Linked DNA regions of Danio rerio. The protein of the gene in region 2 purifies or fractionates together with the protein of the main gene of each other region. This does not show direct contact. Links are inferred from orthologs where the notes say so. Each region holds a gene or a part of one and is shown on either strand. Other genes may lie near its edges.

What was found. Proteins that work in one complex are often made in the same cells at the same time.
Region 1: the proteins of supt7l (region 2) and atxn7l3a purify together in Homo sapiens (affinity purification with mass spectrometry; 6 studies listed by BioGRID and IntAct, counting the BioPlex papers as one, with this or other methods). This does not show direct contact. The link is inferred for Danio rerio from reciprocal best matches to the Homo sapiens genes SUPT7L and ATXN7L3.

What each region holds. Positions count from the first base shown.
Region 1 is NC_133178.1:18,817,767-18,824,623, forward strand, and holds the start of atxn7l3a (ataxin-7-like protein 3), read right to left. Parts: upstream 4,077-6,857; 5' UTR 3,857-4,076; intron 3,230-3,856; 5' UTR 3,167-3,229; coding exon 3,116-3,166; intron 1,782-3,115; coding exon 1,649-1,781; intron 1,570-1,648; coding exon 1,398-1,569; intron 1-1,397. UniProt on the Homo sapiens protein: Component of the transcription regulatory histone acetylation (HAT) complex SAGA, a multiprotein complex that activates transcription by remodeling chromatin and mediating histone acetylation and deubiquitination.
Region 2 is NC_133192.1:44,167,659-44,173,148, forward strand, and holds the end of supt7l (STAGA complex 65 subunit gamma), read right to left. Parts: intron 2,445-5,490; coding exon 2,182-2,444; 3' UTR 2,152-2,181; downstream 1-2,151.

The DNA of each region.
Region 1 (6,857 bases), on a different chromosome or scaffold from region 2:
GTGTATCACAACTCATGAGCAAGGCCAGACAGAATCTGCAGACTTTTTTTGTCATTTCTGTGCAGAATTTTGTAGAATAAAATAAAGAAATATTAGCTGAAAAGTTTTAAGGTTTAGAGCACAAATCCATTAAAAAAATATATATATATACATATATATACGTATATATATATATATACACCAGCCGGTCACTTTATTAGGTACACCACCTGTACACCAAACTTCTCGTTAAAGCCAATTTCCAATCAGCCAATCACATGGCAGCAACTCAATTCATTTAAATATGGTAAAGATCTGCTGCAGTTCAAACTGAGCATCAGAATGAGGAAGAAAGGTGATTTTAATGACTTTGAATGTAACATGGTTGTTGGTGCCAGCAAGCTGGTCTGAGTATTTCAGAAACTGCTGATCTACTGGGATTTTCACGCACAACCATCTCTAGGGTTTACAGAGAATGGTTTGAAAAAGAGAGCGGCAGTTCTGTGGGCGCAAAAACCTTGTTGATGCCAAAGGTCAGAGGAGAATGGTCAGACTGGTTCTAGCTGATAGAAAGGCAACAGTGACTCAAATAACCACTCGTTACAACCGAGGTATGCAGAAGAGCATCTCTAAATGCACAACACGTAAAACCTTGAGGCAGATGTGCTATAGCAGCAGAAGACCACACCGGGTGCCGCTCCTGTCAGCTAAGAACAGGAAACTGAGGCTACAATTCACACAGGCTCACCAAATTTGGACAATAGAAGACTGGAAAAAGGTTGCCTGGTCTGATGAGTCTCGATTTCTGCTGCAACATTCGGATGATGGGATCAGAATTTGGAGTCAACAACATGAAAGCATGGATCCATTCTGCCTTTTGTCAACGGTTAAGGCTGGTAGTGCTAGTGTAATGGTTTGGGGGACATTTTCTTGGCACAGTTTGGGCCCATTGGTACCAATACATATATAGACACACACATTGTATTGTATGCAAATCACTTTAAAAATTATATATATAAAAATATATATCTGAAATAAATATTACAAAATTAATAATACGGGAAATAAATAGAATAGGTTTTTGTTCATGTTACCCTTCACTAAATATTTTAATTGCTAGTTGATGGATGATTGTACGATGGAGGGTTGAGCAGGTAAGGTAGTCTTTATGCAGTTAAATGTCTTATGTAATTTGCCTACATAAGAAAGACGACCATTCGACATAAATCCAAAGTAATTTTGCATGTTTTGTGGAATGGTACTTGCATAAAATTATGTCAACCCATTTCAGATCATCAACAAAAAAAACATTATTTATATTGCAGCAATGTTTGGTCAACTGTATAGGAAAAAGTTAAAGCAATTTTAAAAGGAAATGAATTCTGATGCTAAATGTTGTGACACCAAAGTGAGCTCACCTGCGGTTGGCTATTCGGCTGCTGTTGCGGCCCATGCCGAGACACTTCTCCAGATGAGGAGCGAAGCGAGAGGCCGCAATGCTCCGGCTGCAGTTGGGACAAACACACTCCTTATTCTTCCACTGGTTGTACACCTGCCCAAAGATGTCCACACCAGGCTGGTCCACTATTTCTACGCCAGAGAGAGAAGTATGTCAAACTAAAGCACGTAACCCAGGTTTTAGAAAATAAATTGTCTTTTTTTTACTCACCAAAATCCTTCATACTTTCTTGGTCCGTTTCATCCAGGAAGAAATAGCCCTGTTTGACGGCCCTGTGCACCTCAAAGCACAGCCCTAAACAGGCATCTTCCACTAGGTCAGAGTACACGTCATGAGCCAAGGCCTACAAACATAAATAAATCATTGATAATACTAAATACACTTACTTTCAAAAATAAAGATACACAAGCTGTCACTGACTGTTCCCTTTAAAATGGTGGAAATTTGTACCTAAAGAGTTCATAATGACACCTTAAAATTGCTAATTAGTACCTAGATGTTCCAAAGGATTGAATTAAACTTTATTTCACAAATGTAGATTGTGTCATAGCAGCTTAACATAGAAGTTGTATTAAATTGAAACAGCTTCAGTCCAGTTTTCAGAGTTGAAGTTCAGTTTGGTTTCATTTTCACTGCTGAAAGTTCAAAGGTTGTACTACTGTAATGTGTAGGTACTAATATATGAATCTAAGGTATCAATATAAACTTTTAGGTACAAATGTTTAGCTTTAGAAATGGTTTTCCTCAGTGACAACTTCTGTGCCTGTATTTCTGAACATGTAAATGGAAAGATACGTCAAGTCATGTGGAGTTTTATTGTATTCTGCTACATGTGGAGATACAGTGAAATTAAAAGACATGTCTCACAGAACTACAGTGCAACATGAAAAATAAATAATAAAAATAATAAATATGACTACGGCTGCACAGTGGGTAACACGTTTGCCTCACAGCAAGGTCGCTGGTTCGAGGCTTGGCTGGGTCAGTTGGTCATTTCTGTGTGGAGTTTGCATGTTCTCCCTGTGTTTGCGTGGGTTTTCCCTAGACGTCCAAAAACATGCAGTATAGGTGAATTGGGTAGGCTAAATTGTCCGTAGTGTTTATGTGTGTGAATGGAAGTGTATGGGTGCTTCTCAGTGTTGGGTTGCAGCTGGAAGGGCATCCACTGTGTAAAACATATGCTGGATAAGTTGGCGATTCATTCTGCTGTTGTGACACCAGATAAATAAAGGAACTAAGCCAAAAAGAAAATGAATGAATGAATGAATGAATGAATGAATGAATATGACTCCTACACAGGATGTGCAATTTTAAAAATCACACATAGCTAACATAGTGGAGCAGTAATCAATCAAACAAAAAAAAAGTTGACTATACACATAACTGAAGACTACAAAAGCAAATAAAATACAGTATTGTGCAAGATATTCTCCAAGAAAAAGGTTTTATGATTTATTTTTTAAGTATTACAATGTGATTATTGCATTTGATTGTCTTATTCAGTGCTTGTAACAGAGTTTAATAAAGTTAAAAGTCTTATATTTGTACTGACAAAGAAAATCTTAAGTCTGTAATAAAATTTAGAGTGTACCCTGTGAATGCTAGTGGTGAACGTGTATAAAACCCCAACTTTAGCTATTTTAAACTGTTTTATTATCTGTCATCATTTACCAGTACCTCTAGCTTGGTGTTATCCAGGCCTGACAGAGACATATCCTCCATTTTCATTTGCAGCAACTATGGTAGGGGAGCTGTCATTGTTGACAACAGGAGGAGGAGGAGTGGAAAACACTGAAAAACACAAACAAAAACCCATTACATCATGGTCAAATCTGCATCGTCGTCTAAATGAAACTGCGTCGTTTAGCGCCAAAGGCGAAACATGCGTAGCTAAAATAATATGCTAATGAGCATTGTAATACACACTATACACAAACTGTAGCGCTATAAAAGGATGTACAGTAAATTATTTGTTAGAAATTAAAGGCCCTATCTAAAACGCACACCCATTTCCTAGATCATTTTATCCTTATCAGTAGATGCCTGTCAAAAGCTCGTTCAACACCCACGTTGATATATAACGTTAAGCTATAACGGGATTAGGATAAATAAACGGGCATAGCGATTATCAATTTCAACAGAGGGCAAATAAAACAAATGAAGATCTGTAATTAATAACCACCGCGTCATAAACTTAATAAAACTGTTGAACACACGTACCAACAACGTCAACATAATGTTAGTTGACAGGTACTGACTACAGCACAGCATTTACTGACTGACTGACTAAACATTTGCGTTTCCGTTCGGGCGGGTTTTAATAACATTGTTTCAAAACTGCAGTGATGTGTAGTAAAGCTACAAAGTAACCGACTGCGCGCTCATTGAAACGCATTTGTTTAATATGTGTCGACTTACCAAGACTAAACGGCCCCAGTCTTGCCTCATTCACAAACCAGCCGTTCCTCTGGTTAACGACAACAGAGAACAAACCTACTCAAAACGTGCGTATGAAGGTAACGGAAACGTTATTTAACAAACACGGTTAGGCGCCTGGCTGAATAGGTCACACGAATAAAAAATGATGTTTGGAAATAAAACAACGCTGCCATTTTGGCTCCTGTCAGACATCACTAGTGTATTGCAGAGCCAACGTGACCCATCGATTCCTTTCGCCTTGAATTCGTTCCCATGCACTCTGTTGTATAGCCTATAGGCACACGTGTAGTTCACAGATAAAAAGAGAAATCCAATAAAATAAAAAGAATGAATGAGGGAACGAAGAAAAGCTACAAATAAACAAAGAAGAGAAAACGGAATGAACAGATGAAACAAATCAACAAGACAAACAAAAAGGCACAGCAAAAACAAAGAAAAAGACAAATACAACAACACTAATCACAACAAATGATTGATGGAAAAAAATACAAAGGAAAATAAAAGCTAATAACATGATGAACAAGATCAACAAAAGAACATAAACAATAGAAGAAATGAATAATAGAACAATCAACAGACAATCTCAAACAACATACAAAACAATAAACAAAAAAACAGTTGGAAAATAATACCAAGACGACAGGCAGAATTAATGATATAAAGAACAAATAAACAACATGGACTAAACAAGGAAGCTAACGGCGAGCATGACGACCGAATATCTCAAATATGTGTATTTATATGTCAGTTAAATCAGTTAACGGTTGAAAATCTAAATTTTTAACGCAACTGATAAATGTTATTAAATAAATAAATAACCAAAAAAGGTAAAAACCCAAACAAGCACTATTGTTTTTTTTTTAACTCAACCGTTAAGTTAACCCTTTTAATGCCTGCTCTACCAAATGGTTGAACATTTCGTGAATGTTTTTAAAGTCATTTAAAGTATGACTGTTTGAAATAATGGTTACCACACAGCATTGTTGGTTTACAAAAAAAATCTTTAAAAAAAATTTTTTAAAAAAATCCTGTTGCACTACTAAACTTGATTTTGGTTTTATTGTAAAAAAAAAAAAGAAAAAATGAATTAAACGTGTTAAATGAGAATCTAAAATATTTTATGGCATACTTAAAAAAGATTATTATCCGAAAATGTGTTATTTTTTTATTGTTTTTCAGTAAATTTGTCTTGCACTTCATATTTTTCAGATTCATATTAATTCTGGTACTTTTACTATAAATCAACATATCAACCATTTGGTAAAGTTTGATATTTTAGAAGTTATGAGATGTGAAAAAATGCTTTGAGTGTGTTAATTAGTCACATAATGACTTAAGAAATGCAATCCAAATATTTTTTTCTTGATGGGGTAGCAAAAAGGGTTAAATAAATAACTCAACGTTTTTTTTTTAGTGTAGAACGAACAAGACCAAACGATCTAGAACAAATCGGTGAGTGAAAAAACAAAACCGAATCAGAAGAACTGTTTAAGAGAAGGTTTATTTGCTCAAATTGTAAATTGCAGGGATATAACATCTTTTGCTATAGAAAATGTCCAAATGTTTCAAATCTGCAGTACAAATTTAAGCTTTTTTTTCTTGCCATTTCTACAAATAAACAAACATGGGGAGGCGTAAAAACTAAAACTTACCAAATTAAAAACATGTCCCCCGATCGACAAACTAACTTGAGGCTACGGCAGTGTAGCCAACTGAAAATACAAACGCAATAATATTCACTCATTACAAAGGGAGAAAGAAAAAAAGAGAAATCTATATGTACAAATACCTTACAACAGCACTGAACCCAACCCAAATCTATTTGAAAGTCTCAAAATCCTATAAAATATCAACAAATCTTGAAAGTTCCACTGGGTTTCTTATCCCGGCCCTTCTTTCAAATCATCTAGAACCATCGGGTATTTTTATTTTCCCCCAATAATGCAGCATCACACATGATACAGGCCTCGGTCAAAGATTGCACGCCTGGTTCAGCAAATTGAGCATCTATTTTGATAGCAATCTTCCGTAAATAATAATTAGTTTGTATTCATATGCAAATCATTGAACGCAATCAGAGGAAAAAAATAAATTACAGTGGCCCAATGCGTAAAAAAAATACTGAGTAAAAGGTTTTAGCTCAGTGCAGGAAGCTGGGTTGTGGGTTTAACTTAGTTGCCATTTCCGGCCAGGGTGTTGGAACGAGAGAATATACCAGTCACCCTCAAAACTGTTCGTATATACATACACACACACACACACACACACACACACACACACACACACACACACACACACACAACAAATAATGGTACCCCTCTCTTAAATAAAACTTCTCCGTTACATTCCTTGAGCTGGTGCATGAAAGATCTGTAAAGTGGTCGACATTATGGGCTAATGAGTGAAATGCAGGAGGCATACTGAATATGTAAATAATAAATGGGCAATAGTGAACTAGGGATTCCATCATAAGTGCACTGAATTGTGGGGTAACTCACATCCATCATATTTTAAAACATATCAAATCACGTTTTAGGTTTTTGGAGCACCAAATAAACAGTGGTTGGAAAGAGGAACGAAAGTCAGCTTCAAACGACAGATAACCATTTTTAACAAACAGGAGGGAATCAAGTTTGGTGCCCCAACAAACAAACAAACAAAAAAGCTAACGAACTTCTGATAAACTAGTCCTCAATATGTAACATCAGTCTGAATGAACAGAGAACTTCAACTCAAAATCCTCTGTGGCTTCACCACATCACAAAGAAACGGCTACGGGCAGCATTCCTATAAGAGGACAAACAAAAAAAGTAGTCCATTTTCACCTTTAACCCCCTCATCGGGTGCAGGTAAGGGCACAAACGCCTTGCGAACAAGCACCGAGACCAGCGGGGTCCATGCGGTGACATTCAAAAAAATGGCTTCATTGTTCCTGAAATACCACATTTGTTTTGAACCGACAAAGCAAGGAAAACAAAAA
Region 2 (5,490 bases):
AGTACAACTGTTCTGAAATGATGTCCATTAAAATTAACAAAAAAAAAAAAAAAAAATATATATATATATATATATATATATATATATATATATATACTTAAAGAGTGTTAAATTGTTATTGTTATAATTTGATCTTAATTATTGGAGCCTCAAGAACTGGCAAAACATACTTTTACATTTTTTTCAGAAACTTGTAACATAATTTGAGTCTGAAGGAGATAATGTAATTTTTTTTTTAAATTATTAGTGTACAATGTTTTAAATATGCTATAGTTACCTAGTTTTAAAACATCAATTATTTAGTTAATTTAAATAAAAAGTGAATTGCATTGTTAATGTGATTTATGTGATGATATTGAATGTAGATGAATTTAGATTTAAATTTCCACCTGTGGATAATAAAGTATAGAAGATTTTATAATCATTTATTTAGGAACTAAAATATTACAGGCAGAAATGTATTTATTTGTCATTAAAAATAAAGCCGCAAGGCAAGTACAAATAAGAATCTGACTGTACAAATAAGGATCTTGTTGAAATATGACCTGCTAGAGATGCTTCTAAGACCCACCGAAGACTAAGTAAGGACTAAAACATATGGAAGATTATTTTTGCAGTCAACGCTTATGTTTTGCTTTTCATCAAAATGCCCTTGAAGTGGCCACTGAAGGCCCACACGGTTTCATTTAAGGATGCTGTGAGATAGATTTCTAGTTTTCTCCTTTAGATTGCACCTCTGGAAACATAGCTATGGATGAGTAGCAAAATTTTCACCCAACCAGTATTTATTTGCTTACTTACATTTTTAATTGGAAAACTGTTGTGGTACAGGTGTCTAAGAGACAATGCCTTCGCTGTGACGTCTGGGACTGTGCAGGTAAATGAATTGGCCTGCTTATTTAGCATGCAGATTTATGCATGCTGTAATTAATTTGCCATTACTGGCTTGACTGATGTCCCTGTGTGTTTTGAAGCACACATCAGGCTATAATTACTCTCCATGTTGTGCTCCCTCCATTGTTTTGGTACAAAAAAACAGATGCTAATTTTGCTATGGCAAACAAGTACAGTTATTGTCCTATTTCATAATTAGGTAAAACGATGACCGCCTGGCATTTGCTGAGGGAGCGTTCAACCATGCCTGTCATTTGTCTGTTTCGTTTAATTTCACTTAAAACGTCCATTCAAAGGTAGAATACCTATCTAGTCCCAACAGTGGTTGAGCCTATGCATTGCAATGACTGTGGAAATGCTTTCAGTCTCTTTAATGAAAGGGTTAGTTCACTCAAAAATGACAATTATGTTATTAATTAGTCACCCTCATGTCTTATCCAAACCTCTAAAACCTTTATTTGTCTTCAGAACACAAATGAAGATATTTTAGGTGAAATCAAAGAGCTTCCTCATCCTTCATAGACAACAGGGGCCCTGACTCACTTATACTTGGGAACAATACCAAAATATATCCTCAGAAACATCCTCAGACACATGCTCTGGAATATAAACTGAATTTTATCAAGCTATAAGAATACTATGTACACCAGGGGTGCTCAATCCTGTTCCTGGAGATCTACCTTCCTTCAGATTTCAGTTGCTACCCATATCCAAAACACACCTGAACCAATTAATTAGGACCTAAACACCACGTGATAATTACAGTCAGGTGTGTTTGATATGGGTAGCAACTGAAATCTGCAGGAAGGTAGATCTCCAGGAACAGGGTTGAGCACCCCTGATGTACACATATAAAACAAAAATAACAACTTTACTCAAGGGTTTCTATTCCTCAGTGTCAGTATATTGCGCATGTCCACAAGTTGAAACAAGCACAAGCGCATTTGAGGTAAAACATCTGAAGCTAAATGCGAGATATGAGACGAGACATGTCCTATATTCACACTGAGAAGAAACTGACTATTTTTGTTTTATGTGCACACAAATGTGTTGATAATATTAACGTTGAACCACTGAAGCCATATGGTTAGTTTTGAGGATGTTTTTTAACAAGTCGGGAACCTTGCTGTGTATGGAGGATGAGGGAGCTCTCCGATTTCAACTAAAATGTCTTAATTTGTGTTCCAAAGACTAGGTTCAGGGGTTTAAAATGACATGAGAGTGATTATCTAATGACATAATTTTCATTTTTTTTTAGGTGAACTAACTCTTTAAATGGCAGAACCACTAAACTTTTCGAATTCGTTTCTTTGGTCGCTGAGCGAAGGGGGATGTGCCTATAAGAGAATCCGGGGAATGGGACATGTAGCTTCCTTCTGATCCGCCGGGAGATGGAGGCATGCCAGCTTCACTCATGGTGGACATTGGGCCCTCTTCAAAGACGTCGCTACCCAGAACCCCATGACCTGAAACCTGGCCCTCCTCGCTATCCTGAGGTTCCATTTTCACCTGAGCCAAATGCCACAAGGGAGGGCTGTTCCCTGCTGCTCCTGTTGAAGAGAAAACCAAATGGCTGTGTTAATCTAGAACATAGGTGTCAAACGTAGTTCTTGGAGGGCCGCAGCTCTGCACAGTTTAGTTCCGAAACCTAAATAAACAGACCTGAACTAATTTAGTGCTTTAAGCTTGATTGATACCCATAGATAGGTGTGTTGAAGCAGGGCTCGAACTAAACTCTGCAATGCAGCAGCCCACCAGGAATTAAGTTTGACACTCCTGATCTAAATCATTACCAAAACAAAAGTATTCTTGCCTAATTCTAACCATTTTCCCTTTACCCCAAATATGTAATAAAACAACTGATGGATTAGGTGGTTGAATTCATTCATTATTCAATTTTCACTGCTGTTATATGCTTGGTGCTTAACAAATAAATGACTATTTTAATTAAGCCCTTAAAAGAGCATAGATGTGAAAAGTTCAACTTACAGTAAATTGTTCTAATTTTTTAATGCTTTAGTGCATAGACAGATAGAAGATTTTGCTTTAAAGAAGACACTTGTCAGATTGTAGCTGAAGTGAAAAAAAGTTTTTTTTAAAGGCGTTTAAAAATATAAAACGTGTTTAAAAAATAATAAAAATATATAAATCATATTATTTAAAATTTGTATTAAAAACTGTTACTGTTACTTTGAATTTGACAAAATATATTATAATATTATGATAAATTATATTCCAAATTTAAAATTTACATCTCAGAAGCTTTTCAGTAAATTTCTGTTTGGGTATACAGCAAGGTTATAATAGTTTTGGATTTTTTTCATTAGTTTAGTTTCTATTTGTTTTGACTTTTTGCTTTCAAATTAAGTTAGTTTTAATTAGTTTTAGCAGATTTACTAGTTTTTATTAGTTTCGATATTTTAAAATGGTTTAGTTTTAGTTTAGTTTTTATTAGTTTTAGTATTAGTTTTTAATTTTATTTTTAAAATAAGGATTTTTGTTAGGTGCAAGATTCAAAAATCAACTGAATATTGTATAATAAAAACTATAATAAAAAGCTATTCATTTTTTAAAACACGTATTCAGAGGACACATGAACACTATCATCTCCCAGTACCATCTAACCATCCTCAAATTCAAATACAACAGCCAACAAGATAGCGGCCTTAAGTACAACATGTGTGCAAACCTGCTTCTGAGGTTAGATACACAGTAGAGATGAAGAGTTTAAATATTTAACACGGATGTTAGGACTCAACAAACCAAAATTATGTAGACTACTGACTCTGAGTGCCAAACACCTGCAGCACGAAGTAAATAGATTCACTTCTAAAAGGCTTCAAGTAAAATTATGTATTAAATACATTAACAAAGATGAAAACGAAGATTTTTGCTATAATTTTTGTTAGCTTCAGTTAGTTTTGTATGTGCACAAAACAGTTTCAGTTCTAGTTTTTTTTAAAAACTAATTTTTATTTTAATTTTACATTTATTTAAAAAAAATTTTTTTTATTTTTTTTAACTATAATAACATTGATATACAATACAAAACATCACCAGCAGATGACATTCAGTTTTCACTGGTGCTTGCTGCAGAGCCATTTGGGTGGAGCTCACCTCCAATGAGCTCCAGCTCCTCCTTCTATAAGCTGTTTTAGGCCCCGTTTACACAACATTTTAGTTTTCGAGCGCCGAAAACTACGCTTTTTGAAAATGCCGAAGAGGCCATTTTCATTTTAAAACACTTCTTCTCCGTGTTAGTGTGGGCAGAGGCGAAACGGAGGCGGGGCTGCAGACATTCTCCTACCTGATTGAAGATTTTTCCTCAATATTAAGTAGCCTACACAAAGTTCAGTCTCACATCGCCTCCTTGTACGTTCAGCCTTCCCAAGTTTCAAAAAACCATCCTTATGAGTGCACTGAAATTCCTACATTTAAGTTGAAGTAATGAGGTATTTAATTAACTCATTATCTTTAGCACTGAGTTCAAAACTTTTTTCAAATGAGTAGAATTAGCTTTCAGTAAATTTTGGGTTAATTTCATTTCATTTGATAAAGTTGGCTGTTGGGTATTACAGTGTAAAAATTAAATCTACAGCCTGACAAAAAAAAAAAAAAAAAGAATCAAATGACTGAACATTAAATGAAATCAAAATACCAGAAACATAATAAAGAGGTGTAGAACAGCAAGCATGTGAAATTGTTCAACCAGCAGAAATAATGCATCATTTATCAGCTTAATCTTAATATCAGAGAGAACGAGAGGGATTTTGCAAAAACTCATGTAAACATGGTTGTTTACTTGCATTGCATTATTTATTTGCATATAAACAGAATCAATACAATTCACCTTTATTTCTATAGCGCTTTTACAATGTAGATTGTGTCGAAGCAATTTCACATGGAAAATTATAGTGATTTGAAGCAGTGTCAATTCTGTTATTAGAAATTGAATGGGTTATTTAATTTAAGCAGTAGGCTGGGGGTCAATTCAATTTCGGTAGGCTAGTAATCAGTATATTGGGATGTTAGCCAAAAAAGACAGCATACTGAGCCTCCCACGGTAAACTCTCTCGGAAAAGTTTCGCCTTAACTTTTTCTTTTGATACTAAGACCATTACAGTCACAATTTGTTGCCTTAAATATATATTTCAAATCAAATCACAGCTAGACTTCAAACTGCCTGCAGTGAACAATGGTTACGCAAAATTCACATGTTTACTAGACAGATAAAATGTTTGTAAACAGATAAAAGGACAACGTTTCGCTAAAGTTCTGTTGCTGATTATTTTTGGTGTGTTACTCACTCCTGAGTGTTTGTCAGAACACACAAGCAACTGCTTTAGAAAATGGATGCAGTAGAGAGAAGGAAAGGCAAACAAACAGCTGGATGCCACAGATTAGATGTTTTGCATGCAATGACTCTAATCAAACAGTTAGGATTTTTTGATTTCAGAGCAACAATCGCTCTGTGAGTCCAAACAAACAGGTTGCATTTCATTATTTTCTGAATATTTGTGGAATACATGTGAAAATAATCAATTCAGACCAGGGGTTTTCAAACTGTGGACCTCCACAGGGTCATAATTCAAATGA